4 linked regions of the Rhinolophus ferrumequinum genome follow. The protein of the gene in region 1 interacts with the protein of each later gene in a pairwise test. Links are inferred from orthologs where the notes say so. Each region holds a gene or a part of one and is shown on either strand. Other genes may lie near its edges.

Evidence for each region.
Region 2: the proteins of RNF11 (region 1) and RNF168 interact in binary tests that used the Homo sapiens proteins (3 or more experiments, as listed by UniProt). The link is inferred for Rhinolophus ferrumequinum from reciprocal best matches to the Homo sapiens genes RNF11 and RNF168.
Region 3: the proteins of RNF11 (region 1) and UBQLN2 interact in binary tests that used the Homo sapiens proteins (3 or more experiments, as listed by UniProt). The link is inferred for Rhinolophus ferrumequinum from reciprocal best matches to the Homo sapiens genes RNF11 and UBQLN2.
Region 4: the proteins of RNF11 (region 1) and RABGEF1 interact in binary tests that used the Homo sapiens proteins (3 or more experiments, as listed by UniProt). The link is inferred for Rhinolophus ferrumequinum from reciprocal best matches to the Homo sapiens genes RNF11 and RABGEF1.

Annotation. Positions count from the first base shown.
Region 1 is NC_046292.1:36,590,824-36,599,628, forward strand, and holds the start of RNF11 (RING finger protein 11), read left to right. Parts: upstream 1-5,467; 5' UTR 5,468-5,948; coding exon 5,949-6,071; intron 6,072-8,805. UniProt on the Homo sapiens protein: Essential component of a ubiquitin-editing protein complex, comprising also TNFAIP3, ITCH and TAX1BP1, that ensures the transient nature of inflammatory signaling pathways. Promotes the association of TNFAIP3 to RIPK1 after TNF stimulation.
Region 2 is NC_046285.1:50,815,022-50,822,879, reverse strand, and holds the start of RNF168 (E3 ubiquitin-protein ligase RNF168), read left to right. Parts: upstream 1-4,667; 5' UTR 4,668-5,330; coding exon 5,331-5,631; intron 5,632-7,858. Other genes in the region: SMCO1 (single-pass membrane and coiled-coil domain-containing protein 1), read left to right, coding at 1-286. UniProt on the Homo sapiens protein: E3 ubiquitin-protein ligase required for accumulation of repair proteins to sites of DNA damage. Acts with UBE2N/UBC13 to amplify the RNF8-dependent histone ubiquitination.
Region 3 is NC_046284.1:80,383,686-80,391,483, forward strand, and holds UBQLN2 (ubiquilin-2), read right to left. Parts: upstream 3,509-7,798; 5' UTR 3,219-3,508; coding exon 1,344-3,218; 3' UTR 1,076-1,343; downstream 1-1,075. UniProt on the Homo sapiens protein: Plays an important role in the regulation of different protein degradation mechanisms and pathways including ubiquitin-proteasome system (UPS), autophagy and the endoplasmic reticulum-associated protein degradation (ERAD) pathway.
Region 4 is NC_046290.1:99,235,321-99,243,549, reverse strand, and holds the start of RABGEF1 (rab5 GDP/GTP exchange factor), read left to right. Parts: upstream 1-4,968; 5' UTR 4,969-5,095; intron 5,096-5,111; exon of another isoform or gene 5,112-5,492; intron 5,493-8,229. UniProt on the Homo sapiens protein: Rab effector protein acting as linker between gamma-adaptin, RAB4A or RAB5A. Involved in endocytic membrane fusion and membrane trafficking of recycling endosomes. Stimulates nucleotide exchange on RAB5A. Can act as a ubiquitin ligase.

The sequences.
Region 1 (8,805 bases):
GGGAAAAGATGAAGGGTAATAAGAGGTTCAAATTTCCAGGTATACAACAAATAAGTCACGGGGATGTAACATATAGCATGGGGAATGTAGTCAATAATATTGTGATAGCACAGTATGGTGTCAACTGATTGCTGGACTATGGTGATCACTTCTTTAGGTATATATATGTTGAACAGTTATGGTGTACACCTGAAACTGATATAATATTGTATGTTAACTATACTTTTTAATAAAAGTATTTTTAAAAGACTTACTATAAAGCTACAGAAATCAAGACAGTGTGGTATTGATGAAAGAATAGACAAATAGGTCAGCAGGACAGACTAGATAGCCCAAGTAGTCCCACACAAATATAGTCAACTGATTTTTAACAACGGAGCAAAGGCAATACAATGGAGAAAAGACAGTCTTTTCAACAGAATATTAGGACAACGGGATACTCACATGCAAAAAATGAGTCTAGACACAGATTTTACACCCTTCACAAAGAAATTAACTCAAAATGGATCACATCTAAATGTAAAATGCAAATATATATAACTCCTAGAAGATAACATAGGGGAAAATCTAGATGACCTTGTGTTTAGGAATGATTTTTTAGATACAATCCATGGTATGGCCCATGAAAGAAAGAATTGATAAGCTGGACTTCATTAAAATTAAAAATTTTTGCTATGTAAAGGATTCAAGAGAATGAAAAGACAAGTCACAGACTGGGCGGAAACATTTGCAAAAGACACATCTAATAAAGGACTGTTCTCTAAAAAATATAAAGAGCTCTTAAAACTCAACAGTAAGAAAATAAACAACCCTCTTTTAAAAATTGGCCAAATACTCTAACAGACACCCTATCAATTAAAATATGTAGATGGAAAATAAGTACATGCAAGGCAAATTTTAGGGAAATAGAAAATAAACAACAATGAAATACCACTACACACCTATTCGAATGGCCAAAACCCAGAACACTGACAAGATCAAATACTGCTGAGGATAGGGAGTAAAAGGAATTCTCGTTCCTCGCAAGTGGAATGCAAAATGGTACAACGACTTTGGAAGACAGTTATGGTAGTTTCTTACAAAACTAAAGATACTCTTATCATAAAATCCAACAATTGTGCTCCTTGATATTTATCCAAATTAGCTGAAAACATGTTCACACAAAAACCTGCAAACAGACTGTGGCAATGTAAAATGGTACAGCTGCTATAGAAAACAGTATGGCAGTTTCTCAAAAAATTAAACGTAGAATTACCATATAATACAGCAATTCCACTTCTGGGTATAAAACCAGGTAATTGAAATCAGGGTCTTGAAGAGGTATTTGTACACCCATATTCTTAATGCATTATATATAGCTAAAACATGGAAGCAACCCAAGTGTCCATCAGTGGATGAATGGATAAGCAAATTGTGGTATATACATACAATGGAATATTATTCAACCTTAAAAAGGAAGAAAATTTTGCAATATGTTGCCACTTGGATGAACCTTGAAGACATTATACTAAGTGAAATAAGCCCGTCATCAAAGGACAAAACTGTATGATTACACCTATATCTGTCATAGAGACAGAAAGTGGAATGGTGGTTGCCAAGTGCTGGAGGGAGGGGAGAATGGGAAGTTATTGTTTAATGAATAGTTTTGGTTTTACAAGATGAAAAGAGTTCTACAGATGGATGGTAGTGATGGTTGCACAATATTATGAGTGTATTTAATACCACTGAATTGTACACTTAAAAATGGCTAACATAGTAAATTTTATGTTAAGCATATTTTTTATCTCAATGAAAAAAATGGAAAGAAAACCTGTACTCTGATTTATAGCAGTTTTGTTCATAATTGCCAAATTTTGAAAACAATTAGGATGTCCTTCAGTAGGTGAATGCATAAATAAATTGTGGGACCTCCAGAGAGAGGAATATTATTGTGCTAAAAAAAAAAAAATGAGCTGCCACCCATGAAAAGACATGGAGAAACCTTAATTGCATATTATAAGTGAAAGAAGACAATATGAAAGCCTACATGCTGTATGATTCCAACTATACGACATTCTGGAAACGGTAAAATTATGAACACAGTAAAGAAATCAGAGTTTGCCAGGGGTTAGTGGTTAGGGAAAGAGGAATAGGCGAAGCACAGGAGATTTTTAGGGCAGTGAAACTATGTTGTTTGATGCTACAATGGTGGCTACATGTCACTATACATTTGTCCAAACCCATAGAATGTACAACCCCAAGAGTGACCCTAACATAAGCAAAGATTTTGTGTGACAGTGATGTGTCATTGCAGGTTCATCAGTTGTAACAAATGTACCATTCTAGTGCAGAATGTTGATAATGGGGAGGCTATGTATGTGTGGGGGCAGGCTGCATATAGTAAATCTCTGTGCCTTTTGCTTAATATTGATGTGAACATAAAACTGATCTGAAAAATAAGGTCTATGTAAAAAAAAAAATCTGTCTCTCATATCTGCTTCTGCATTAGATCTCCTTCTGTCAGAGAAAACCAGAGCCAGACAAAAGTTAAAGTGGTGCAAATTTTATTCAAGAACTACTATTGCAATAGGGAAAAAGAAACCTCAGTATAGATAGAACTGGACTCCATTAATACAAAAAGGGCAAATGGGGATTTCTGGGCAAGGAGCAGGGTGGGAGCAGGGTGGATGGAAAATTACTAAGAGGAAACATCAGGAATAAGGGGAATTCTGGTTAAACCTACTTGATAGGATTTTTGCTGAAGGCAAGCCAAGGTGGTCAGATACCGAGGGTCGGGGATTCTGGCTAAACTGACTCAGCTAGATTCTTGCTAAAACTGGAATAAGTGGGCCAAGCACAGAGCCCAAGGTTAGGGCCCTGAGGGCTTAGAGAAGCCTGGCAGAGTTAGGTCAGAAGAGCCTTTGTCACTGTAAAAGTCCCGGTTACTATTTTCTATTTTAAATTATGTTTTGTGATTAGGTCACACTCTGGTCTACAGGGCACTTCCCAAAGGCTCCTTTCTAAAGCTGGGTTAGGAAGAAAGATCATTGAATAGCTACTTCCTTACAAAGGCATTCAAGATAAGTCTTCCCCCATTCCCTTGTTTTTACACACTGAGGGAGGAAGACCAGGATGAAAAAACATGTAGTCCTTTCCCACAACCTAATAAAAACAACGGGTATATGATTCAAATCCTGGCTTTACCTCTGAATAGCCATGTGAAGCCATGTTTCTATTCCTACAAAACAAGAATATCAATATATACCTTTTAAGGCTGTTATGTATCTAGCTCAGGTTAATAAATGGCAGTTATGATTATATATTAAATTGCATTAAAATATTCATATATGCTATGTAGATATATACAGTATAATACAATAATAAATCCCATTTATTTTATATTGTTACATATAGCCCAACTAAGTGAAATCAAGGACAGCTACATGAAGAAAGAGGTATTTAAGGAGCATCTTAAAGATGGCTGAATTTCAACAAAAGAGAACAGTGAGGCAAAAGGTCAGAGGTGGAAAAGCATACTGAAAATTGAGAACATGGCAAGTAGTGTGATGCGGCTGGATTATAAGGATGCCTAGTTGGAATTGGAGATAAGGATGGGACCAAATGGTGCAAGGCTAATGCGAAATTTCTGAACCATGAGTCTATGAATGCTCTCTGATCACAGTTTTCATGGCAGTAGTGTGGAGAATAGATAGATGATTCAGAGGCAAAATCTTCATTAAGCTGTTGCAACAGTTTATAACAGACAAGGAAAATGACAATGGGGGAGAAGAGGCATGTGCCTGAAGTTTTCCTCCTAAAGGATCTAATAATTTCACTTTTCCAAGCTAGTGAATTAAGCAATCATTTTGGAGTGTGTTTAAAAGATTGTGATACAAACGTGGTGTTAAGTTACATACCTATTTAGATGGGAGCCATTAATGGGAAGGAAGGCAAGTCTTGGAGAAGAGGCCATGCAGCAAAAAGGTTATATTTACTATGAGATACGAATGCATTTAAACAAGACAGTAATTTTGTAGAATAGGGACTCCAAGAATCCTTTCAGATCCTCACCTAACTGTCTAATCACTCTCCTCTGGGCCCTCTAAAAACCTTTGGTGGGGGAGTCAGAGGACTCAGCTGTTTACTTGTCTTCCTAGCTGGACTCTGAGCTCCATCAGGAAAAAGCCAGGTTTGGTAAGTCAGTGCCTAGCATAGGGTCTGGAGCCTAAATAAATACATATTTAAAAATAAGTAAAAGCAGTAAATGGTGGACAAAAGAAAGAGAGTCAAGACCCACTTCTTGTCTTCTTGTCGAATATTAGGAGCATCATCTTTCTTGTTGCCTTCCTTTGCATACATTGCCTTTTGAGTTGCCCCTTCATTCACCCAAGAGCCTACTACTCTGCCTTAGGCCGTGTGCCAGACTCTGCACAGAGAAGGGACAGATGATTCAGCTTGATCAGACTGTGACAGAGAAAAGATCAGGGACTGAGAACACAAAGGAAATGACTAACCCAGACTGGACAGGGTTGGTTAGGAGAGTCTTCCTAGGGGAAATGAAGTTGAGTCCAGGAAGGACAAGTGGAAATCACGGTTAGCCTGAGGGAGGTAGAAGGTTAGGAATGGAGAAGTCAGTTTCTATCAGAGAAACAATATGGGTAAAGGCCTCAGCCAGAGGGAAGTCTTCTAGATAACCGAAAGTACTTTGTTTACACAGCCTAGAGTTTGGAATATGTGAGGGGACAATGCTGCTGATGAGATAGGCAGGTAGACAGATTTGTAAACCATTTAAGAATTAATACTTAATCATAACACTAAGTCATAATACTTAGTTTCCCATAACAGTATGGGAAAGCCACTGAAGGTTTTAAACAGCAGAATGACATAATCCGATTTACATTTTAAAAAGGTAATTCAACTGTGCAGGTAATGGATTGGATGGGGCAACCGTTAATGCAGAGAACAGCTGAGAGCATTGCAGTAGGGTGGGCGAGAAATGATGGTGGCTTGGACTATGGTGCTGAGAATGGAAAGAAATAGAACAATCTGAGATATACAGCTGGAAAAAGACTCTAGCTGTGATGCAGGAGAACAAGGGAGTGATTGGATAGATAGAGAAGGTTCATGAATGAGCTCGAACTTTATCTTGAAGGAATAAAGGGGAAACCACCTAACCTTTTAACCATAGGAGTGATACAGATAGGGTTTATAAATAGATTATTTGGCCGAATGTGGTGAGAAGACTGTCAGAACAGGGCACAGGTAAAGAGCTGAGACAAGAAGGGAGGGAGAAGTGGATGTGGGGAGGACGTTGAGACGACAGAGAGGTTTCAGAGTCAGGTATAGAACCAACAGTCTGACAAGCAGAAACTCACACAGCCTTAGAAAGGCTGCGGAGGTGGGGTGGAGGGCGGGCGCAGCCAGAACCGCCCACGCCTCCCGGCGCCAGGGGCGTGACTAGAGCACGCACGGCGGCATGACGCAGGGCCGCAGCTGGCCTCGTTCTGGCCGCCGCTGCCGCCGCTTTGAGGCGGAGTAGGATGAGGCCCGCGGCCGCGGCTCCGGCGTCGGCAGGGGCAGCAGCAGCTGAGGCAGCAGCTGAAGCAGCCACGACGGCCGCGCCCCCACCTCCTGACCTGGATTAGGCCCAGCAGCTCCGTGGCCGCCGCCGCCCCGCGGGGGGGCGGGGTGGGGGAAGTGTCTCGTCTCCCCGCCCGCCCCCCCCATCGCCACCTCGCAGAGGCTATCGCCGCGACCCCAGCGGAGCCCGCGGCCAGCCTTGAGCCCCCAACCCCGGGGGTTGGCATGAGCGGCCCTTCGGCGGCTCCGGGGGGCGGGGAAGCCGCTGCCGCCTGAGCCCCGGCCTGCTGCCGGACCCCACCTCGCTGACCGAGGCTGACCGCGGAGCCTAAGAACGACCCCGCCACTGCTTTCTTCCTCCCCCAGATCACACACCCCAGCCCCAGAAGATGGGGAACTGCCTCAAATCCCCCACTTCGGATGACATCTCCCTGCTTCACGAGTCTCAGTCCGACCGGGCTAGTTTTGGCGAGGGGACAGAGCCGGATCAGGAGCCGCCGCCGCCATATCAGGTAGGGGAGGGTGTGTGTTGGGGAGGTGGGGGTGCGAGGAGTAGAGGCAGCTCCCGCAGAGATTGAGGGGTCTTCGAGGCTGTCACTGCTCCTGGCCTCGGGAAGGCCTGGCCTGGGGGGCGTTGACCCCCTTAGAGCAGGGTCTAAGGGTGATTGCTCCCCACTCCCAGAGTAGGGGGGATCCTTCACATCCCCTCAGTCTTGGTGTGGTGATGGTACTCTGTCCTTGAGTATGTGATCATATCCCCTTGACCAGAGGCTCGTGGTTTGCTTGTGGAGTTGAGAGTGACATTTCCCTGCCTTTATGTCTGAATCGCGGAGTCTGACCTGTGAGGTTTGGAGATGATTTGCTCATCCACCGCCAGCTGGATTATGGGTTGTGGATGGGTGGTTGCCCCCCGTTTATATTTTCCCGTGTGATTATCCTCTCTTTCCCTCCCCTTTCTATTCGTGTTCATTGGATCTAGTAGGTGTTCATTTCTTCTACTTGGGAGAAGATCTTCAAGTGGTGGTTTTAGTCCCAGCAACATCAATACTGGTAGTTACTTGTTTATTTGTGTATGTATTAATTTGTAAACCCCTCCTTCTTTTGCTCCAGCCCATGACACACCTTTTAAACGCAGACTTAATAAAACTTGATTACCTTGAACTTTGGAAACCTTTAAACCTGACTTGTGAAATAACCTTCTGTTACTTGTGGTTCTCCTTTTGTATCAAAGACTCTTTCCTAAATAGTTTCATTGCTTTCTGTACAGCAATCAGCAGCCCCAGATGTGTTTACACAATTAATAAAAGCTAAGACCTATTCAGAAAACTCAGGATAGATATGTGGATGTTATAATTTATAATATATACAAACCTTTCCTCTACTTCTTCAGTTTTAAATGATGTTGATTAAAAAGTTTTTTCCAGAAGGCCTTAGATGGTTAAGTGGCTTAATATTTTTTCCTGAGGGGGTTTAGTTTTCTAACTGGGCAAGTCTCCTTTGTTGTTTCATGGTGACATCATTATTTAGTGTTATTCTTTTCTCATTCGTGTGTAGACCAGTGTCTCATCACACCAGAAAAACCTGATCACATATGCTGGTTTTCTAAATAAAACCCTTCAAGGGCCTTTCATATATGCTAGTAAAGTCCAGTCTTATTGTGGCGTAAGGAAGCCTCCATGACTTACTTATCTCACGTCTCTGTGTTCCACACCTACCACATACACCAGCCTGTTCACACCTCTCTGCCTTTGCTCCAATTGTTCTCTCTGCTTGGAGCCCTTCCCCCAAGGTCGGCCAGGTGAACATCTAATCCTCTTTGAGGACTCAGCTCTCCTGTCACCTCATCTGGAGTCGCTGCCTTCCCCTCCCTCCTGTCCTGAATCCATCCATTACTCCTTTGTGTCCCCCTGAACTCTCTACACTCCCATAAACAGCACTTATAAACTTGAGTCTTAGTTAATATCCTTGTGTATTTAGATGTATGTCTCATCCTTGAGGCATTTCCCTCCTACCACAGTGTAAACTGCATGCAGGTAGGGACCCTGTGTCTCCTGTTTGCTCCGAATCCCCAGCATCTGGCTCATAGTAGATAGTAACTGTGGGATTAATGAAGACTGTAAACCCTCGAGAGCAGGGACTATGTCCCCAAAGCTTTGTGCAGTTTCTCGCACAGAAAAGCACTTAAATGTTGAATGAATTAATGAATTGGAATTCAGTATTATGTTTTGTAAGTTAACACACCCATTTCTTCCAAAGAATTGTCACAGGGTAAGTCTCTTGAAAAATCCAAGCTAAATCTGGATGTCTTTCTGAATCTTTGAAGCAAATAAATTGTTTGTATTTTACTCTTTGTTTCCCTCAAAAATACTATAAGACTATGTACTTATTTCAGTTTCATGAGCAAATTTTTTTAGAGGTGTGAATTTTTATTTCAAAATTTCCTTCCATGTTCCCTACCCCCATTCCAGGCAAATTGGATATCTTTGACTTATTGCCCTCTTTCTCTTATCCTTATGCTAACATAGTGTTAAGAATTGTATTTGTCTTTTCCAGGACTAAATAATAATGAGTTTTGGTATCATGAAGGAACATTTTTTGAAACATGTTATTTGTGACAGTGGGAGTTTTTTGTGGTTGCCCTTTCCTGAAGTGAATGACCCAGATGCCGATATGCAAATTTGGTATCAATTGAAAGAAAATAATTTCTTTTAAAAAATGGGAGCATGAAAAAAAAAAAGAAATTTACTGGGCACTCTGTTAGCTCAGTTGGTTAGAACGCAGTGCTCTTAACACCAAGGTTGCCAGTTCGATCCCCACATGGGCCACTGTGAGCTGTGCCCTTCCACAACTAGGTTGAAACAACTACTTCAATTGGAGCTGATGGGTCCTGGAAAAACACACTTAAAATAAAAATTAAAAAGTAAAAAAAGAAAAAAGAAACTTTTGTAGAAAAAATTTTGTTCCTCCGAAGAAAATAAGATTTTTAGGAATAGTTAATTTAGATGACCTGAGAAACACCAATCCAACGTAAATGATTTATATTTTCAGTGGACAAAAATAACATTTTTCTTTAAATAGTATATAATTAGCAGAGCTACAGGAATACTGGCTTAATTCTTTAAAGAATAGTCTCAGCTGCAGCAGGATTAAAAATTTTTTCCGTTAAGGGACTAGCTGATTGCAAAGGAACACACTGGTATTTTTCTGTAATGAGTAGTTAAAAGATATTTTTTGTGTTTGTGTTGC
Region 2 (7,858 bases), on another chromosome or scaffold:
TGTGTGGGAGTCTGTCCTAGAGGAGTGTGGGCTGCAAGAAGGTGATATCACAGCACTTTGTACCTTCTTTATCGCACATGGTAGCAAGTCAGAACACTACAGTGCTAACGTGAGGCAGATGTACATCAGGGATGTCCCTTTCATGATCACCAACATGGTAAAGAACCAGGCTCTGCGGGATGGTTTGCTGAGGGCTATTCAAGTCATTGAGAAGGGGAAAGCAGTGAGAGCCCCTGAAGAGCAAAAGTCATCCCTAAAAGAGTTGATACCATCAGTCAAAAACTAACCTGTTACGCTATAACCTAGTGATTCCATTTCCAGTCATTTATCTTGCAAATGAGAAAAAATATGTATATACAATTTTGTTATGGGTTTATTTTTATAGCACAAGTGAGGGGAGTGTTAGAGAAGTTATGATAAATGGATACAGTGGATACTTTCTGTGTAGCCACATAAGAGAATGAAGAAGCTCTTTGTGTTATTGTATAATGATATGGTGTTATCAGTAAGATGTATTGTTTTAAAATATTTATTTCCAATATATATTGTTAAGTGGGAAAAAGTGCAAAAACAAATACATACATAGACACATATAAGCTAATATACTCATAAACTTTATAAACTTCTGGAGAGATACATAAGAAAGTAATAACCTTGGTTGTTTTAGGGAAGAAAACTAAGAGACTAGAGAGTGAAAGGTAGGAGGAAGTCTTTTCACTGTTAATCCATCTTGTACATTTTGAATTCTGAACCATGTGAATGTATCATCTATTAAAAGACAAAACAACAATAAAAAATAAAAAAGTATATATTGTATGTTGATATACATTTTCTCTCTAGTATAAATATCACAGGTATTTATACTAGAAAAGGAATTCGCACATATTGACCATACATTTATGATATATATACAATTTTGTTATGATGTATATACAATTTATTGAACAACAAATGCCATGTGTTAGCCAGATGGCTCAGTTGGTTAGAGCACAAGCTCTTAACAACAGGGTTGCTGGTTCAATTCCCACACGAGCCAGTGAGCTGCACCCTCCACAACTAGAGTGAAGACAACGCTGAGCTGCTGGAGGGGTAGCTGAATGGCTCAGTTGGTTTGAGCGTGAACTCTTAACAACAAGGTTGCTGGTTCAATTCCTGCATGGGATGGTGGGCTGCGCCCCCTGCTACAGCGACTTGATGTGGAGCTGAGCTGCGCCCTCCACAACTAGATTGAAGGACAACGACTTGGAAAAACACACCGTTCCCCAATTTAAAAAAAAAAAACCCTTAAAAAAATGTATATATATATGGATCCTGTCCTCCTGGTGAAGGGTAAGTGCTGATGCTTTATTTGGGAGGTACAAATTCAGGACAGCCAGAATGAGGTAATACTCTGGAAGGGATGTTAGGTAGAGAAGGATAAAATACAAGGTGATATGTAATCTTGCTGGCCCCTCCTTGAAAATGAGCCACAAGAGACATGGAAGTTGCTTGGCAGGTACATCCACTCAGTCTGATCCTTCTCCATACACACTGTTTGGAGAAACCATGCCCATGCCTTCTTGGAAGGAAGAAGGAAAGGGAATTTCTCTGTCATGCTCACTCAGTCCACTGTTTTCAATTGGCCGAAATTTGTTCCAGGGGGGAGTGACTCCTCATACTTACATGATGCATCATCTAAGCCCTCCCACTACCCATTAGAAAGTCAGAGCCTACATTATTCAGTGCAATGTTTCACAGGAGTCCAAAAGTGGCAGGAGAAGCCAGCGATTCCAGGCAGCAACTGGTCAGCCCCAGAAAGACTAAGGGATGGTAGGTCCAGAAAGTAAACAAGGCCAAGGAGGAAGCATATACTCATAAAATGTATCCATTACAGAAGACATAAGTACCTAAAAATAGAAATCAAAATGCAAGAGTTAAATAATAAGACTACAATAAAAACTACTATCACTAAGAGATATACAATTGGATGAGTTCAGCGAGATATTGTTACTGTGACAAGGCCTGTGTGCTTGACGCACCAAATATTTAATATCCAGTAGATCAGAGTTTAGATTAGGAAAAGTTTTATTTATCGAAATGGCACCATAACGAAAAGATAGAAGATTTCTAGTTTTGTCAAATCCATCTTAAGACACAGCAAATCAAGATGTGGTAAAACAAAAAGATCAAGACAAATGAGATCTAATGCTAGTGTCAGTTTAATGTCTACTGTGTTTTATATAGTATCTTTTTGTTCACTTTGGAAAATTTACTAAAAATTGCAAAAAATATTGTTCAAAGATGTAAGGATTTTTGAAACTCAAAATGCATTATAAATAGACTTGATGAAATAAATTTTTAAAAATCCATCTTAAGAGAGTCCAGAATTCAGCCTTCTTTTATGACAAGGGAAGGGAGAATGGGCTGGGCAAGAGGTGGGAACCAAGGAAGAACAGAAATCTCCAAATCTCTTTGTTCTCAGTTAGTTCTTGACTCCCTCTGATCTGAATCCAGTCCTGAGATTATTATAAATCTTTGATAAACAGGCATGGCTTTGCATATCTTTTGCCACTTATTCAGGAGGCTGTTTTTGCAGAATTTCTCTAGTCAATTAGCATATCAACAATAGGAACTATTTTCCTGAAGGCCCTGGGAGAAATGCATGCTAAAATTTATGGTAAACAGCATATGGGAGAGAAACAGAAGCATTCTATTGTTATAGTATCACTGTCTGATGGAGAAATACTTCCTGGAGAAGTGCACTGAGTTGATCCTTGAAGTAGGCAAAGTCACAAACCAACTCATTTAGGATGAATTGAGAAAGCAATGACCTGAAAGCACAAGATGACAAAAAGTAGATCATAGTTGAATGTTTCAAAGAATAATGGAAGATTCCATGGGAAAAGCAGATTGATACCATATTAGGGAGGTGGAATTCTGGGCTAAGGAATTGATACTGGACAACTGGATGTCAACCAAAGGTTTCTGAACCCACATTAAAACAAAACAAAGCTTTTTACCACGGACCTACACATCCTTGTTTTGGTTCCATCTGGAAACCACTCATCTCCTCAATCTGAATGAACCCAATAGACCGAAAAGAACTTTGACTATTTTCATGCACAGTGGTTTTCTTTTCTCTTTCTGTAGTTAATTTCCTCAAAAAAAACTCAGGCCTAGTTCTCTACCCCCCACCCCCATTTTTTTATTGTGGTAAAATACACATAAAATTTACCAACTTAACCATTTTCAAGTGAACAGTTCAGTGGTATTAAATACATTCATAACGTTGTACAACCATCACCACCATCTATCTCTAGAACATATGAAACTATGAAACTGTATATCCATTAAACAATAATTCTCCCAGCCCCTGGCAAACACGATTCTACTTTCTGTCTCTATGAGGTGTTAACGGAAGAACGTCCAAATCTATAGAGAATTTTTTGTAAGAGTTTATTTGACCCAAACTGATGACATACATCAGGGAGCAAGATTTCATATGCTCCAGAGAGTAAATTTTGCAGCTTTTTTCATGCATTTGAAATTAAGGAGGGAAATAAGGAAGATCACAGGAAGGTGGGAGAAAGCAAGACAGGGATTGGATTCCGGGATAGTTGACAAGATTCTGTGCTCTCTTGAGGGAGGTTATGACTTATTTCAAAGGTGCATTAACCTAGATGCACAGAAGCAGTGGAGATTGTTTGCTTAAGACAAAGAAAAACGTTTTACTAAAAAGTTATATGCCTGGAGTGTGACTCTCCAACACTATCTGCCAGTTAGGAAGTTATGATTAGATCACCCTGTGAAATTACTTTCCATACAATCTCTTTTTTTGGTCCACAAAGGCTTGGTTCTCAAGTACGAAGGGTCAACCTATATTTAATCCGCCATTTTCCTAACCAAAATATGTATTTTTCGTAGAACTGAATTCAATAGGCTCAGTTGTCAGTACAAAAACTTAATATCAAGTGGAAAAACTTATTTCAAAATGCATAAAATGTTAAACTATCTTCTTTTTTGGCTTCCTCATAATTTTGATTATTCTGGATTGATACTTAATAATAAAGTACTACATTGTAAATGATGCACATGACTGCTAAGCTTCAGTCAGGATGGATGCGGACGGGAGGTTTCCCAAACGCCTAGGAGGGAAGGCAATCCCAAAACAACCTATCTCTGGGCCGCATACTTGAGAAGGGGCTGGACTATAGCTTTCTACAGTGTTAAATGCCTTTATAAATTGTACCAGTTTGGAGATTCTCAGACCACAACCTTTCTGGGAGATTAACCTCGGAGATGCTTTTCTAAGAACTTTGGGCAGCGAACTAAGAGGCTTAGTTACAAATGAACAGAAACAGAAAAGTAGTTTGAGTACTTAGGGAAGAATTTTAAAAATTACTGTTCGGCCTCTAAAGTTTGTTTGGGTTCCCTTTTCCGACCACAGGCCAAATCTCGCGACACTCCCAGGTTTTCGCAGCCCCGGGAACAGAAAGTGCAAAGGAAGCTCGGACTTCACCTAAGCTGAAGTAGGAAGGGCTGAGACGCGGGAGCAAGGCCCTCCCCAGGCCGGGTGACCGAATTGGTGGCGCGCCCAGGACCCGGAAGTCCCGCCCTTCCCATTGTTATTGGTCTTTGCCCGTGGGCGGTTCTCTGGTGGGCGGGGCCATTTTGGCGGGCAATTGTGACGTTACTAGTCCCAATCGGGTTGCTTCCGCACCACAGCAAAGGTTAAGCTTTTTGACTGATACAGGGGTAAGGAGCGCCAGGAAACGACATGAGACACCGAAAAGCTGGAACGCTCGGGTTCGTATGCTGCCCATACAGCAACGAAAAAACGGAAGACCTGCTTTAGTGAAGCCAGGCGTCCGGGCGGAAGCAGCGTCTTTCCCGGAGCGGTGGTTTTGGCGGGTGTGTGCCTAGACAGCCTTGGGCTTGGCTGCGGGCAGCTGAGGGAGCATCTTCACCTGGTGAGAGGGAGGAGGGGAACTTGGCGCATACCTCCCGCCGCACCAGAGCACCGGAACCCAGCGCCCGCACTGCGGAAAAGGTTCTCTTAATGCCTCGGAACAGCCAAGGTCTTCCGAGGGAAACCTTTATTTTCTTATCCTACGTTTGTCCTAAACGTGGACAAATTGCACCGCCTTCCAGGGAAGTACTGTTTACCTGACCCGCAGAGCGCCTTTTGCTTCAAGACGTATTTGATGTGTCCAATCTCTGAATTCTGATACGCTGCTGGGCACAGTATTTAACACAAAACTGCTAATTTGCTTTCTCATTAATTGGGCCGGAAATACTATTCTTTGCCTTTTCGGGTGTTGATGTTGAATATGCCGTTTTAGTATATTAAAATGGCTGTGCCTAAAGACGCCATCCGTTCCTTGTCGGATTGCCTATGCGGGATCTGCGTGGAAATCTTGATCGAGCCCGTAACACTGCCTTGTAATCACACGCTCTGTAAAGCATGCTTCCAATCGACTGTCGAAAAGGCGAATTTATGCTGTCCCTTCTGTCGCCGCCGGGTCTCGTCGTGGACTCGGTACCATACCCGAAGAAATTCTCTTGTCAATAGAGAACTGTGGGAGATAATTCAAAAACACTATCCAAAGGAATGCAAGCTTAAAGCATCTGGGCAAGAATCAGAAGAAATCGGTGAGTAAAACCCAGCGTGTTTGTTGGCTAAAAAACAAAAAACCTAAAAAATGAGTCACTGCTAATGGGTTTTTTCAAAGGATAAAAAAGAAAGCCCGACTAGTGTCTGTCTAAATTATTCACAGGGGCTTGGGTTCTATGGGCGCCAAAGTCAGTGGCAAGATTTTAGTCATTGTTATAATGCCCAAGGTGTGTTTAGTTGGTGTTTGTTGGGTTAAAAATTGAAAAAAAAAAAAACACCTCACAAAAATTGCTGGTGTGGAGTCTTCATTCTTATGAAAAGTTGTATAAATATTCACAGATGAGCAATAGTGGTAGTACAGCAACCGCCGAAATAAGGAATCCAGTAGTTACTGGATTCCTGTGTTAATATTTCTTTTACTTTCAATACTTTCTCTAACTTATTTGCTATACATATTCATCCTAAGCCTGCAAGGAGCCTAAACTAGCTTTCTGAGACCAGTTCCTTCTGGTTAAGTCATTTTTATTCAAAACCCTCCACTGTGTGGACTCAGCAGCTAATTCAGTGTGTCCCAAATGAAACAATTGACTAGCAGCTTGATCCACTTATGTGATCAGTAAGCCATGCAGTGTGTCTTAATGTGGTGGTGTCTTCTCTGGTGTACTTGCCTTTTTTTGTTGGAATTATTTTTATTGTAATTAATATATATAACAAAATTAGCTATTTTAATCATAGTTTCAACAGTAGTTACCTTTTATTAAAACCACTGGATTGTCCTCACCAGAAAAAGCCAATCTGTGTGAGAACTCCCATGTGGATTTTGGGTCCAGTGATGCCAGTATCATCTAATTTTTTTTCAAGAAAACCCCAAAATCTGGAAGTCCATAGTTTGAATCCTACCAGAATAAATTGAAATTCTTTTAAACTACAGGCCAGAGGAAAACACAGCTGTAGGTCACCAGTTTACCATCACTGTCTTGAAAGAATAGATTAGTTCAAACAAGTTCACTGTTAACAAAATTAGAGATGTAGTCTATAGGAAAAACATTCAGTAATGCTCTTCTCTATGTAAAGCATGTATAGAGGATGGAATCAAAAACAGAATCAAGAATAGTTTGATTTTTCATCAATAAATTTGTTGCATTTCCAAAACACACCCCACAAAAAACGCTTTATTGAGAAACTCACATACAATTGTTCCATTTAAAGGGTTCAGTTCAGTGGTTTTGGTATTTTACATTCTTTTTGCAAAATTGCAGTAAAATGTATATGACAAAATTTGCCATTTTATTTATTTATTTATTTATTGGGGAAGAGGAACAGGACTTTATTGGGGAACAGTGTGTACTTCCAGAACTTTTCCAAGTCAAGTTGTTGTCCTTTCAATCTTAGTTGTGGAGGACGCAGCTCAGCTCCAGGTCCAGTTGCCATTGCTAGTTGCAGGGGGCACAGCCCACCATCCCTTACGGGAGTCGAACTGGCAACCTTGTGGTTGAGAGGACGCGCTCCAACCAACTGAGCCATCCAGGAGCTCAGTGGCAGCTCAGCTCAAGGTGCCGTGTTCAGTCTTAGTTGCAGGGGGCGTATCCCACCATCCCTTGTGGGACTCGAGGAATCGAACTGGCAGCCTTGTGATTGAGAGCCCACTGGCCCATGTGGGAATCGAACCGGCAGCCTTTGGAGTCAGGAGCATGGAGCTCTAACCACCTGAGCCACCTGGCTGACCCCCATTTTAACCATTTTTAAGTGTACATATCGGTGCCATTAATTACATTCACAGTGTTGTGCAAATTTCACCAGTTGTTTCCAAAGCTTTTTATCACCCCAAAATTTTTAACCATTAAGCAATGATTCCCCATTCTTTTCTCCCCGTTTCTAGTCTACTTTCTGTCTCTATGAATTTGCTTATTCTAGATAGTTCATATACAATATGTGATCTATCGTATCTGGCTTAAACTTAGCATAATGTTTCCAAGGTTCATGCATGTTGGAGCATGTATCAGTAGGAGCATGTATTCCTTTTTAGGACTGCGTAATATTCTATGTTATGGATATATTTCATCTATCCTTTCATCCACTGATGGACATTTGGGTTGTTTCCACCTCTTGCCTATTTGTATAGTGCTAATACGAACATTAATGTACAAGTATTTATTTGACTATCTTTTCAGTTCAGAATTGCTGGGTCATATGGTATTCTGTGTTTAGCTTTTTGAGGAACTGCCAAACTTACACAGGGCTGCACCATTTTACATCTTCAGCAGC
Region 3 (7,798 bases), on another chromosome or scaffold:
AAAAAGGAAAAGATTTATCCATTTTTTATTATTATTTTTTATTTTTTTAGTCATTTTAATGCATTATTCCCTGTGCATAAGAGAAATAACTGATAGAGTCAAAAGATACAGTTTCCTTTACATAGCAGTTAAAAGTAATGCAAACATCACATGACACTTTCAGTGGAAGTTACATTTCTAATTACAAATCAAAATGTGTATTATTAGGGTATCTTTATGAGAGAAGCTGAGAAAGAAGTCTTAGGTAAAAAGCACTTTCCTGGCATTACTACACTGATCCTTCAGGCTGCACAAAGATTAAGGTCATATACAGTCAATCGGCAAATGTTGACACAATTTCACACAGTAGTTTTCTGTACAATTAAATGTATACTTAGAAATACCAGGATAAACATTTCTACTATATTTGAACTGAACTTGCCTAGCCAACATTTTCACTGAGTTGATCAAAGATGCTGTAAGATTCTACAAAATTGTGACATACCTAGCTCCAGAAATATTTCTTATATTCTCTCATTTTGATGACATATTCTGCTCAGATTCCGCTCAGAAATTCTGTTGTAATATTTCTAGATGTACAGTTCCAATTGTGCTTACTGTACTGTGTACAAATATAACAAAAAAGATCAAAGACTGATATAAATCTTACAGCATTTTGCTAGCAAAAATACATGCCAAAGTCACAATAAGCAATATTGTACCACAAATTAGAGCTTCAAATAATTTGCTTCTGGTTTTAATATTTTCATTCTACATTAAATTACTATAAGCTAATGTTTAAAATGCAAACAAATTGGACATCTGTAGGACAAAACTTGTTCACCCAACTGTGAAGTTTGATATCTGTTTCCAAAAACCACAATAAATGCAGAAGAGAAGTGTTTGCATGCAACACCTTTGAGTGAAACAGCATTGATTCCCACCATTCAAAACAGACAAGGAGAAGGAAGGAAGGAAGGAAGGAAGGAAGGAAGGAAGGAAGGAAGGAAGGAAGGAAGGAAGGAAGGGAGGGAGGGAGGAAAGAAGGAAGGAAGGAAGGGAGGAAGGAAGGAAGGAAGGAAGGAAGGAAGGAAGGAAGGAAGGAAGGAAAAAAGAAGAACAAAAAACAAGGAAGGACAAAAGGGAGAGAGGACAAAAGGAAGGGAGGGAGGGAGGGAGGGAGGAACGAAAGAGGGAGAGAGGGATAGGGGTATGGACTCCACCTTAAAATGTATCATATTATATTTATAACTAGACAGATTTAAAAGAATCAAAACGAAAGAAAAGCATGATTTTGTGTGTTTAAAGATTTAAGAGCCATTATCAAAAATAAGATACATTTTTTTCAAGGTACAGAAATGTAATTATGATGGCTGGGAGCCCAGCAGCCTCTCAATGGCTGCATTGATATCGCCTCCTGTTGCTATTAGAGCCTGCAAGTTTGCTTCACGGTTTAAGAACCCCATTGCGTTGAGCTGTTCCAGTTGTTGCTGAAATCTGACTTCTGGATTTGGCAGCTGTGGAGGATTTGCTCCAGCCAGAGCCTGCACCATTTGCTGAATGAATTGCTGGTTGGGTCCAGATTCCGATGTTGGGCTCGTGGTTTCACTAGGTGCAGAGCTAGACATGGTGGGCCCAGGGGTGCCGCCAGAGCCAGTGGAACCAGGGGGACCTGCAGGGCCAGTGGGTCCTATGGGCCCAATGGGACCTATGGGGGTAAATGGGACTATGGGGCCAATGGGGCCTATGGGTGTGACTGGGCCTACAGGGCCTATAGCGGTTCCCAGCACCCCCACCCCCACACCTGGAGTGAAGCTTGGAATGAGGCCAGGAGCTTCAGTGGCTAATGTCTGTAGCCCCTGCTGGATCTGCATTAAAGCCTGCATTGCTCTTGGGTTTGACATAGCTGACAGCGTATCTGGATTCTGCATCTGCTGCAGGAAAGCCGGGAGCTGTGGACGCATCTGCTCCTGCAGCTGAGGATTTGCAGTAAACACTGGGCTATTCAGCATCATCTGTGCAGCCAAATCTGGATTCTGGCTCAGTGACTGCATCATGCTTCTCATGTAGGGCGCAGACAGCATATTCTGAATCAGCTGGGGGTTTTCAGTTATCTGTTGCAGCAAGCTCTGCATTCCGGGGGTACTGAAGATGCTGGCAACATAATTGGCTGCAGCCATGGTGTTCCCAGTAGCACTACTGGAGCTACTGCCAGACCCACTGCCACTGCTTGTGGTTGTGCCGGTGGTGGTAGAACTCTGAGTAGCCGGTGGTGGTGCCCATGGATTGGGTAGTGGATCTCGATTTTCAGTGCGGGAAGGCTGTGTACCTTCCCCGGAGGAGGAACTGCTCCCGGTGGAGGCAAACGGATTACCCCCGAACTGCTCTTGTGCAGCATTCAGCATGGGTTCTTGAATGTCAGTGTACATGCGCCGTAGGGCATTATAGCCACCTGGGATGCTTTCGAGATTGCTGAGAGCCAGGTCTTGATTTCTCATCATCTCTTGCATCATTGCTGGATTCCTGGCGATTTCGAGGGTCTGCCTCATTATATCTGGGTTGTTGAGCAGGTGACTGATTTCTGGGTTTCTCTGAATCAATTGTTGCATCTGTGGATTGGCCATAATGAGCTGCCTCATCAGATCGGGATTCGAAAGCATGCTCTGAACAAAGGGATTTTCCATGATTTGGATCATCATCTCAGGGCTGGACAGAAGCTGCTGCTGCATCTGATTCTGGAGCTCAGAGAAGTTGGTCGAGCTCAAACCCAGGCTGCTAAGGCCTGCAAGTCCTCCCAAGCTCCCCAACCCAAACGGGTTGCTATTTGTGGAAATAGGTGTGGAGTTACTCCTGGGAGTCGACGCGGTAGTAGTATTAGTTCCCGCGGCATTACCGGGCTGTGTGGACTGGCCCTGAGGTCGGTTCTGGCTTTTGATGACAAGGTGAACAGTCAGTCCATCATGGATGCCGTGCTGGATCAAGGTATCTTGATCTTTTAAAATTTTTCCGGCAAAAATCAGCACTAGCTGATCTGTTTGGGATTTGAAGCGTTTCGAAATCGCTTCCTTAAACTGCTGGACTGAGCTATTCTCTGGCACCGCGAACTCCTCTTTCTCTTTGGGAGTCTTCACAGTGACTTTGATGATTTTGGGCTCGGCCTGGGCAGAGGCAGGGCCTTGGGCCGCAGCAGGGCCGCGGGAGGGGCGCGGGGGGCCGCTGCTCTCGCCGTTCTCAGCCATGGCGGCCGCGGTGACGCAGGCAGACAGGGAAGGCGCGGGCGGGCGAGAGAGAGAGCGAGGGAAGGAGGAAGGAAGGAGGCGCCGCCGCAGCAGGCTGGGCCGGGCCGGGCGGGGAGCGCGGAACACAGTACCTCTGTAATGAAGATTGCGGTTTTCTGATCCTCGGGTGGAGAGACGGTTCCGTGCAGGCCGCGGGCCGAGATCTCAGCGCTCAGGTCTCAGGGCCTCCACCGCCGCCGTGTGATCCCACCGCGCGCACTCGCAGCAACTCACGCAGCCGCTCCGCCCGTTCCTCCCCGCCCCTTCCCCTCCCCCAGTGCCGCGCGCACCTCCCCGCCCCCCTCTGCTGACGCGGCGCCAGGCCCAGAATGATAGATACGACTCGAGCAAAATTAAAAAACTTCTATACTGAAAAAAAGGGGGAGGGCGGGAGAGAGAGAGATTGAGAGAGACAGAAAGACAGAGAAACAGAGAGGGAAATAAACAAAGACTAAAGAGTAGAGAAAAGAGGGAAGGAGGGAGGGAGAGAGGAAAAGGAACCAGCTTCTGTAGAAGACATTAGAAGACCAATAGGGGAAATATATATATGTATATATAAATCTCTTAATAAATCTCAAGAAAATATATATATGTATATATAGATGTGTGTGTATATATATATATATATATACACACACATCTATATATACATATATATACATATATATGTATATATATATATATATATATATGTATTTGAAGTCCGTAAGGCAGCGAAAGAATGAAAGCCTGAATCCAACTGACCCCATGTAAAGACAAAAAATGAAAAATAAAGAACAAAGCAAAAAGGAAAAGATTAACATCCCCAATGAGAGAATGGGAGAAGACTGGGCAGAAGCATACATTTTACGAAAGAAGTGCAAATGGTCAAAGGGCATATAAAAAGATGATTAAGCTCACCAGTAATTAAAAAAAAATCCAAATTAAAACAATGAAATTATACTTCTGCCTTGTCACATTGACAAAGATGAAAAATGATAAACCTTATAGAGAGCTGAGAAGATGCACTCTCATGCTAATCGAAGTGTAAGTTATAATCATAAGGCAATTCGAAAACATAAATCGACATTTTAAATATTTCCGCCTTTCTCTAGAAATACCTCATTTAGAGACCTTGCCTATGAAAATAATTGGATAAGGATGCAAAAACATAGATGTATAAAATGTATATGCACTGCAGTATTTTCAAAAAATTATTTTAAAAGATGATCAGTGTCTGTTTACACAAGATTGGTCAAATATGATATTGCCATACAATAAAATAATATGCACTATGTTTAAAAATGGGTGGTTAATTCATAAGATATAAAGTATCTTTAAAGGTATACATGAAATAAACAGTAGTTCTAGGAAAATTGAGAGTATTTTCACTTTCAGCTAAGTATGTATAGTAGAAATTATACAAGCCTGTTTGTTTCAATACCAAAAAATACAATAAATATGTTTATTTTAAAACTATTTGAAACAGTTTATGTATATAAACTGTCTTTAACTGTATGTGTAAAAAGAAATCTGGAATATTATTCATTAGTATGTTACTGGTGGTGATTCCTTAGTGCTGAAATTATGAATAACTATTCCTTTCTCTTTTTAATTTTAGATTTTTTGATGGCTTTTATAACTATGCCCTGCATTTATAATTTTTTTAAAAAATCAGAAGGCATTTGGGGGTAGATTATAAGTAGATACTGACAGGCATACAATAGTAGTGCCAGACATTACCATATTTAACTAATTTAGTTACAGATAAGTAGGAGAGATAAATAAAGATGTAACACTGGAATAATAGAACAAATAATTTCAAATTTATGTATAAATTACTTTTTTAAAAAAGAAAATTTGTCAAATATTTTATTTAACTCATTAAATTATAAATTTTGAACTCTAATTTATGCTATCCAGAAAATACTTTTCCCTCCCAGTATCCAGCCAGCATTTGAAAATAATTAGGCCACAAAAGCCTTAAAATATCTCAAGAAAAGAAAAAAAATGAGTATGTAATGTCTATCAAAAGGGGAATGGATTAACATAGTATGATTTATATGATTAATAGAATACAGAAGATAAAAGGAATGAACTAAATCTAAACATATTAATATGTATAGATCTCAAAAAGCTAATTAATTAGCACAACACTATGGTGTTTATAGATGCATTCACATGTATGTGGAGCAATCGCAAATATACTAGAATGATTCATACCAAACTTGCATTCATGGGGAAGAGGAAATGGACTAGGGCACAGGATAGTGACTAAAAGGAAATTGAGTTAAATCTGTAAAAATACATAAATTTGAAATTATTTGTTCTTTCATTCATCTTTATGGAAAAATATGGCAAATATGGCAAAATAACAATAGTTAATTCTAGATGATAGGGATATGAGTATTTATTATAATACAGTTGTATTTGGGGGGATTTTTAATTTTCCAAAAAATAAGAAAATATCACAAGTTATCTTATTTGATTTCAATAGAACAAATCTAGATATTAATAATGAAAGTGTGAATGAAAAAGTCAACCACTTGAAAATTAAAATAGCATTACACACTTTGGGGACAAAGTGCAAATCAAAGTTTTTATTAGAGTAAATTTAGAAAAACGACAATAATGAGAATATATACATCAATAATTATGATGAGAATTTCCTGTGTGGTCTGAGGGTCGTGTTAAAAAAATACATGAATCTAGGCCCCACGATAAACTTACCAAAATAAGTGGTGCTCAGAAAACTGCATTCTTACCAAGCTCCAATTTAATGATATTTGATTTACCATGTCCTATGTGAATGAATTCAGGGTCAAATTTATATACTCACAGACCAAATACAAAACAATTAAAAGTGAAAATAAATGAATTAGGACAACAGAAAAAGAGGGAAACGGTGCTGAAAAAAAATGATAAAAGCAAACATTAATGAATTAACAGAAAGAAAAATAAAATTTGTTAAGTGAATCTAAGAAGTTCTTTGAAGAAGCAAATCAAATAGATATGCCATTATTAGCTAGTTGATTTTATTACAAGTCCATCACCAAAGAAAACAGCAGGAGTCACCCTCTCTAGTCGGTCAAAAGTACATTTTTTTTTCCTACTGTAAACTCTTTGTTAGAGAGCAGAAGTAAGAATAAATACCAATCATCCTGGAGTCCCTCCATAGAAGGGTAGTTTCTGAGGGACTAAAAGACTTGTCAAAGAGCATGTCCCCATGGAGGAATCACAGTTTGGGTTCAACGGACAATGTTAGAGATTTCATGCTATGTTGGCCTTTGTTGTTTTCCTCCCTCCCCCTAGATTTATTGAAATATAATTGCCATATAACATTGTGTAAGTTTAAGGTGTACAGCTCATTGATTTGGTACATTTATATATTGAAAAATGATTACCATTGTATCATGACCTAACACTTCCATCACGTCACATAATGACCATTTATTTTTTTCATGGTGAGAACATTTGAGATATACTCTCTTAGCAACTTTAAAGTATATAATACAGTATTATTACCTACAATCACCATGCTATACATTAGATCCCCAGATCTTATTCATCTATTAGGTTAGTGCAAAAGTAATTGTGGTTTTTGCAATTATTTTTAACCTTTTAAACCACAATTACTTTTGCACCAACCTAATAATACTTGGAAGTTTGTACCCTTTGACAAATATCTCCCTATTTCCCCCCAACCCACAGCCCCTGGCAACCACCACTCTACTTGTGTTTCTGAGTTCCACCAAAAGCACATTTCCTTGAGTTTTTATCCATTTTTTAATAAATGATGTTATATTTTGCATTTTGTTTCAAAATATATCCATTGTAATGTTTTAAATTACTTACAACTAAATAAAATGAGCATTCCAGTGGTTGAATGAACATGCCTTTGTTAGTGAGAAGAACAACATCAATTAGCTTAATCTTAAAATTTAAGAAATGAGCAAGAAGATAAATACATAAAAACTGGGATTGCGTAATTTTTTTTTTAAAGTATGATAATACTTTGTAAAAATCTTGGCTAACAACAAAGAAAAATGGATGATTCTATAAATTTTCTAGGAAGATATACATGACCAAAATATATTAAAGAAGTAGAAAACCTTAACAGATCATGTAAGACACTTGTAAGAAAAAGAATAAGAAATCAAATAATTTGCTATTTTAAAATCATCTTTCTTGTTCAGGGTTGTGGCTGAGCTAATGCTTTTACCTCCTCTCTTTAGCAAATCCCATTCAGTTAATTGAAATGACATGAGAAAAATAATAAATCCCTAACAGTGTTGAAAAGGTGGAAAGAGTGCCATCCATGAATCTTCATGTTAAATACCAAAAAATTCTAGATAAAAAAATGAAATCATAAAACATTAGAGCAAATATTTATATAACCTAAGCATGGTGGTGACCTTTCTAGAACAACAAAGAAAAGGATACATTAAAATTACAACTAAATTGTAGAACAATCAACCTGGGGAACCATCTGAAGTCTAGCTAAACAGAAGTTCTATAACTAAAAATATAAAGAAGAAGCTATGGGGAGACTAGTAAGAGGG
Region 4 (8,229 bases), on another chromosome or scaffold:
AAGACAGAAACAAACAAGACAGAAACAAACTCATAGATACTGGGAATGGTTTGGTGGTTGCCAGATGGGAGGGGTTGGAAGTGGGTGAAAAAGGTGAAGGGATTAAGACGTACAAATTGACTGTTACACAGTAGTCATGGGGACGTAGGTAGGGTATAGCATAAGGAATATAGCCAATACTTTTGCAATAACTAAGGGATCAGAAGAATACTAGATTTATTGTAGTGATATATAGGAGGGGAGTTGAGGGGCAGGGTGAAAACTGAAGGGATTAAGAAGTACAAATTGGTAGTTACAAAATAGTCATGGGGATATAAAGTAAAACATAGGGAATATAGTCAATAATATGGTAATAATTATGTATAGTGCCAGGTGGATGCTAGACTGGTCAGAAGGATCACTTCTTAAATTATAATGTCTAACCCCTATGCTGCACACCTGAAATTAATATAAAAGAACAACTGAATGTCAAAAAAATTAGAAAGAAAGTAAAACAAAAAAACCTGTTAACTAAGAATTCTATATCTGGCAAAATTATTCTTCAAGAATGAAGAAATTAAGACATCCCCAGATAAACAAAAGCTATCGTTCATTATTAGTGGAACTGCTTATAAGAAATGTTAAAAGGAATCCTTCAGGCTCAGTAACAAATGACACTAGATAATAAGTTGAAAGCACATAAAGACATAAAGAACACTAGTAAAGGCAAATACCTAGGTAAATGTAAAAGCCAGTATTATACTTTGTTTTGTAACTCCTCTTTTTTCCCTATGTGATTTAAAAGGACATGCATAAAACATTAATTATAAACATTTGTTAATAGGCACATGATTTATAAAGATGATCTCTGACAACAGCAAGATAAAATGAGAGGGACAGAGATGTACAGTAGCAGAGTATATACTATTTTAAGTAAATTGGTATTATTGAACTTACAACAAGTTGGTGTCATAAGTTTAAGATGTTAATTATAATCCCAAAGGTAACCACTAAGAAAGTAACCAAAAAATATACAGAAAATGATAGAATCAAAATGGTAGGCTACAGAAACACAACTAGATACCAAAAAATGCAGTAATGGACAAACTGAGAAACAAAAACATATAAGGCATATAGAAAGCAAGTAGCAAAATGGCAGAAATAAATCATTCTTTATCAGTTTAAATTACTTCCAATTAAATCTCAGAGATTGGCAGAATGAATTTTCGTACAAGTTCCATCTATATGCTGTCTATAGAAGACTAACTTTAGATACAAAGGTACAAAGAGGTTGAAAGTAGAAGGATGGAAAAATACATTCCACGTAAATAGTAACCAGCTGGAGTGCTATATTATTAGACTGAATAGATTTTACATTAAAAATGGTTACAAGAGATAAGAAGGACATTACATACTGAAAAGGATTTAATCCAAGAAGATGATACAACAATTATAAGCATATATTTGGGGTGCCAAAAAACCAGGAGTGCCAAAAAAATTTATATAAGTGGACACTTTGGTCAACATTGCTCAAGTGTCTAGACGCTGATGGTAACCACTTTGAGCACCTCTTGTATGTAATTACAGAAGTCAAACGTGATTTGTTTTCATCTTTTATTGGTATATATCGAGTATTACAATTTTAATACAGTTCTCCTTTCTTAAAATGTGTATACATTTTTTTTGCACCCTCTGTATATATGTACAACAGAGCACCAAATATATATGAAACAAAAAGGGACAGGATTAAGGGAGAAATTGATAGTTCTAAAGTAATAATTGGAAACTTCACTATCCCAGTCTCAATAATGGATAAAACAACCAGAGACAAGATCAATAAGGAAAGAGAGTCTTTGGACGATGTTATAATTAGACCTATCAAATATATATAGAACACTTCACCCAACAATAATGGATTATACGTTCTCCTAAAGTGCACATAGAACATTCATTGTTCAGAGTAGAACATGTTAGGTCACAAAACAAGTCTTAATAAATTTTAAAAGACTGAAATCAGACAAAGTATCTTTTCTCATCACAATGGAACAAATTTAGAAATCAGTAACAGAAGAAAAACTCCCAGAAATATATAAATTAAAAAAAAAAAAGCCTTAAACAACCAATGGTCAAAGAAGAAATTAGAAAATACTTTGAGGGCTGGCCCAGTGACTCAGGCGGTTGGAGTTCCATGCTCCTAATGCTGAAGGCTGCCGGTTCGATTCCCACATGGGCCAGTGGGCTCTCAACCGCAAGGTTGCTGGTTCGACTCCTGCAAGGGATGGTGGGCTGCGCCCCCTGCAACTAACAATGGCAACTGGACTTGGAGCTGAACTGTGCCCTCCACAACTATGATTGAAAGGACAACTACTTGACTTGGAAAAAATTGTGGAAGTACACACTGTTCCCCAATAAAGTCCTGTTTCCTTTCCCCAATAAAATCTTAAAAATAAAAAAAGAAATAAAAAATACTTTGAGACAAATCAAAATGAAAACACAACAAACAAAACCTAGGGAATGCAGTGAAAGCTGTGCTCAGAGGGAAATTTATAGTTTTAATCATCTATATTAAAAAAGATCTCTAATAACTATATACCTTAGAGGAACTAGAAAAAGAAGAGAAAAGTGATTCAAAGCTAGCAGAAGGTAGGAAATAAAGATTAGAATGGAGATCAATGGAATGAGAATAGGAAAACAAAATAGAAAATCAACAGCACCAAAACTTGGTTTTTTTAAAAAAATGAGCAAAATTGACAAATCTTTAGCTAGATTGACTGAGAAAAAAAGAGAAGATTCAAATTGCTAAAATCAGAAAAGAAAGGGAGGACATTACTGACTTTACATTAAAAAGGGGGTTATAAGAGAGCAGTACTATGAGCATTTATGTATACAAACAAATTGAATAACCAAATGAAATGAAGTAATTCCTAGAAACATAGCCTACCAAGTCTGAATCACAATGAAACAGAAAATTTGAATAGACCTATGACTAGTAAGGATATTGAATCAGTAATCAAAAACTTCCCAACAAAGAAAAAAACACAGAAAATTTGAATAGACCTATAACTAGTAAGGATATTGAATCAAAAACTTCCCACCAAAGAAAAAACCCTGGATTTGATGGCTTCCCTGGTGAATTTTACCAAACATTTAAAGAAAAACTAATACCAAGCCTTCTCAAACTCTTCCAAAGAATTGAAAGGGGAGGGAATGCTTTGTAACTCATTCTATGGTATAAAGCCAGCATTGCCCTGATACTGAGCCAATCAAAGACACTACAAGAAAACAAAGCCAATATTCCATATGAACATTGACAGAAAAATATCCTCAACAAAATACAATACTGAATTTAGCAGCATATTAATAGGATTATATACTGTGACCATGTGGGATATATTCTTGGAATACAAGGATGGTTAAACATACAGAAATTGATCAGTGTTATACACTATGTTAGGAGAGTAACGGGGGGGAAAACTCCCTGATTTTTTCAATTGAAGAGAAAAAGTGTGTGACACAATTCAATGCCCTCTCATGGTAGAAACACTCTACAATCTAGGAATAGAGGGAAACTACCTCAACATAAGAAAGCCACATATGAAAAACCCACACCTAACATTACACCCAGTGGTGAAAGATTGCAAGTTTTTCCACTAAGATCAGGGATGCCCATTTTTGCCAATTCTGTTCAACAGAGTATTGGAAGTGGTAGCCCAAGCAACTAGCCAAGAAAAAGAAATAAAAGGCATCCAAATTGGAAAGGAAGAATAAAATTATCTGTTTCTTCTTATATGTAGAAAACCCCAAAGATCACACACACACACACACACACACACACACACACACAAAAACCTATAATAAGTGCAGCAAAGTAGCAAGATACAAAGCAATACACAAAAATCAGTTGCATTTCTATACACTTACAATGAATAATCTGAAAAGGAAACTAAGAAAATAATTCCACTTACAATAGCATTGAAATGAATAAAATACTTAGGAATTAATCGAGAAGGTCAAAGATTGCAATTGCAGTTTCAACCTCTCCCAGAAATATACTCTTAACCATTCTGGAACTTCCTGGTCAAGCACCAGTAAGGTAATATATGAATGAGCCCTCTTCATACCTCATAGAAAGAAGAGGCAATTTTAATGATAAAAACTCTTCCCATTTTCTTCCCCCAAATAAAATGTGCAGACCCAAAAATCGTGCTTTTAATAGCTCCCTTGCCCTACTTTCTTCCTATAAAAACCTTCCATTTTGTACAACCCCTCAGAGCACCCTTTTAGTTACTAGATGGAGTGCTGACCAATTCATGAATCACTTAATAAAGCCAATTAGATCTTCAAATTATACCCGGTAAATTTTGTTTTTTAACACAAAGTTTCTGAAATAGGAATCACAAAAACTGTGTTTCCTTTATAACTTGACCGTTAATACTGTGTGACACTAGCTAATTTATTCAACTTCTAGTGTCGCTTAACTCAGGTATTTAAGAACGCTTCTGGATCAACTAACCTCTTTCACATCCTTTAATGTGAACACCTGGACAATCCTAAAATCCGTGAGAGAATGGGATTCATTAGTTTTTCAAGCGGCCTCATTCCCTACGTGTTGGCAACCGTCTTCGGGCCCAATGACTCCTCTCCCGCAAACTTAGCAGCCTCCGCCTCCGGTTCCACGTTAAGACATGGTCGGGCAGGACCCAAGAACAGGCAGAGTCGCCCTCAAGCTATTGCGCGTGACATCCCAGAAGCGAGGACTGAAGAAAAGACAGAAACGCCGATTCTTCGCCGGCTCCCGACGCTTCAGGTCAGCGCCCAGGGATAGCCTCGAGGCCGGCAACTTCCCCTGGCATTGCCGGTGCTGTCATTCCGTGCCCGCCTCGGCCTTGCGCCACCCAGCAGAGACTCCTGCGGAACACGCACAGGTAACCTCCCACTCAAACCAGGGCCCCGGAAGTGACGTCTGTGCGCGCGTCACGTGCGCACGCGGCGCCGGGGGCGGGGCTTGAGAAAGGGAGGGCCCTTGTGAGGGCGGGTTGTGGACTGGCGGACCCGCGACCCACTGGAGAGACGCGAGGAGAGCCGCGTTCTGGACGCCGGTTGAGCCGCAGACGAGGTACGGAGCTGACGGACCCGGGCCGAGGGCAGCGCTCTTCGCGGCTCCAGGTGGCGGGGCGGCGGCGCCATCCGGGCGGGGGCTGCTGGGTCATTCGTCAGTGCCTCCCACCGGCCGGGGCCGTTTGGCTTCGGAGCCTCTTGTGGTCCTCTGTCCCAACCCCGGCCCCGGCGGCGCGGCCCTGGCCGGCCCCAGGCCGTGGTCGTCTCCCTTAATCCTCTTAGAGCTCAGCCTGCCCGTGTCAGGCGCTGGTCAAGTTCTCCAAGGCCCAGCCCAACCCCGACGGACAGACGCTTACTATCATTTCCTGGCCGACTTGTGCCACCCATCCTGCCCTCGCGGGATGGCTTCCCTCTGGCCGGCTTTCTCCTCACTGTCCAGTCCGCGGAGTCCGAAGGTACACCTGTGGTGGCGGCCGGTCGGGTCGTGCCCTGGGGCCTTGGGGACCCGCCTGGATTGGAGGCTTTGGACCCAGATCGCATCCTGGCCTTGGCAGGGGAGCCGGGGCATCACGAACCCGCGTCGGTCTTGGGGAGGGAAACGAGCCGGAGCTGGAAGGGTGCTGACTTTCGTCGCGCGGGACTTGAAGACTGGTCCTAACTTTCGCCCTGTGATTGGTTGAGGCCCTGGGATTAGGGGCAGAAGTCCCTGCTTCCGAACCGTGTTGGAGGAGAGCAGAGGGGATGCCCAGCCATCACGGAAGTTTAGTAGAGAGGGAGGGAAGGACCCAGCCACTTTGGAGAACAGCTCATAGACAGCTGCTGGTGGTGTCTCAGCGCTGGTGACCAAGACCTGTGTTTGGGAACTGTGTCTGTCATTGGTCGCTGGTGGGCTCGTGTTGCCTTTGAGATTAGACGTGAAAAATTGCCGGAACGAGTTTACAGCATCACCCGAGGTGTGGTTTTTTGGGAACCGAAGAGTTGTTTTGTTTTTTGAGATTAAAAAATAGTTGTACTTTTTTCTATAAACCTAAAACTGCTTTTAAAAAATTATTAAATAGTTGTACCAGAGGTACAACTTGCCAGAGGTGCAAGAAGATTTGACTGTATTTTTAGTTTATTTAGTAAATAATGTTAATTTTTAAGAGTTACTGGTTCGCATGCAGAAGATTAAGAAGTGTTCAAGATTTGAGTTTTTACTGACGTTGTAAACTATCCTGTTTCTTCTCTCTAGAAGTTAGACAATTTAGGAGAGGGGAGGGAGGAGACACAGCAAAGATACTTTGAAAACAACATTGGAGCACTCTAAAGGTCCCTCCTCACCCCGAGGGACTGCAGGATGTGGACGGTGGAGAAAGGTGGCATGGAAGGCCTTTGTGGAAGTAAAGTGAAGAATTGAGTAATATTCAAACTAACAAAGCAGGGTGGGAATTTTAGGGGTAGATAGGAATGTGGGCGTGGTGCCACTAAAGGAAAAGTGGCCAGTAACTACCAGGAGGTGGTTTTTGAAAAGTGAAAAAGAGCAGGGCAGAGGTGGAGGTAGAGGGGCAGAGATGCTGGAGCTTGCTAGGCCTTTGACCTGCTAGTGACAGCACTGGGGAAGGGCTTTAAGGAGGGGCATTTCGTCCTTAAATAGAAGTTTGCTGTGTGGTGGCTGGGGATTGTGCCCAGGTCTGTGTGCTTGATTATGTGATATGCGTATTTTAATCTTTTCTGCTCATTAAGTGTTTGAATTGAATTGTCTGTTTATTTACTACTTGTTTCTTTGTGTAAGAGTGACGGACCTGCGAATTTGTAAGCTTCTATAAACAGAAATTCTGCTTTTATCTCTTTGCATTTTCAATCCAGGTTGGGAATTCACAAATGTTCCATGAGACTTATTCCCTTGATGAGAATTCATTGATTTCTGATGTTAGTTTCCAGTGAAAATTTGATCAATACTTATTTTAATATTTACATACAAAAAAAACTAAGATCCTGTTTGATTTACTTGTGGCAGTCTTTGGCTAGAGGCAGAATTTCAGTCTTGACAGTATGAATTTAATTTTGGGCACATATGTTTTTATTGGTTGCAAAGGATACATTTCTAGCAGAGCTGATCTATCCCTAAAATGTAGGCAATACCTGTGTAACATACACCTGTCTATTCTGTGACACAGAATAGAAATGCTATTAAGTGTCTTCTTAACCCATAAATAAAGTTGTCACACTAAAAACAAGAGTTTCACAATAGAGGCCAAACATTTTGAAAGTCTTATTAAACGCTCATGTCTTTCATAAAGCATTGTAGAAACATCATGTTTCAGATGACTGAAATACCTTGAAATAAGCTAGACTATTGTTGAATAAATGCTTAGGAGAAACAACGATAGACTTGTTTTTATCCCACTTAATATGTGTAACTCATGTTTTTTGTGTTTGCTATTTGGATGAAGCTAAAATACTTTAAGAAAAGGCTGTCTTTTTATGGTGCCACTTTCAAATTACCCAGTGAGATTTCTGATTTTGATGAAGTACTGTTGGCGTAGAAAGTATAAATTTTACTGCGTAGTAGAGCCTTTTTTCGTGTGTCTGGTAGCATACCTCATTTATGGTCACTAGGAGGGTGAAAAACTAATTATAATCAATTAACTAGATACATATATATAGTTAAAAGTCAGAAGTTATGATCAGAATGACAAGTATGAGTTCATGAATGGGTAAAGTTTTACACACTAAGAGAATCTTAAGCTTTTTATTTTCCTCAAATGACAGCAAGGAGATTGCTGGCTTCCCTGAAGCAGGAATGTAGCAAGAGCCTTTGGGGCTCTAAATTCTTTGCTGCCTCACATTAAGGAGTGATGGCATCATCCTCTGTGCTAGGAACAGGGCAACGAAGGGGTTGTACACAAATTGTATGAATCAAATCTGAAGCTAGTCTGGTCAGTTCCCATTCAGAATACTCAATTGTAATTGCAGTCATGATGATTTGGTGTGTATTTTAAACTAAAAATTAACTGTTGGATTTTTACATGGGGATATATTTACAATTTTCTGTGTGCTCCAAAGTTAAAAATACATAATGAAAGTGTTTTATTTTTGTATTTCCTCTGTTGTTAGAATTTCCTAATTTTAGAAATAATGGTTGCTAAAATACTTTCTGTTTTCTTTTGGAGCACAAAAAAGATAATGTCTTTAGAAATTGAACTCATAAAA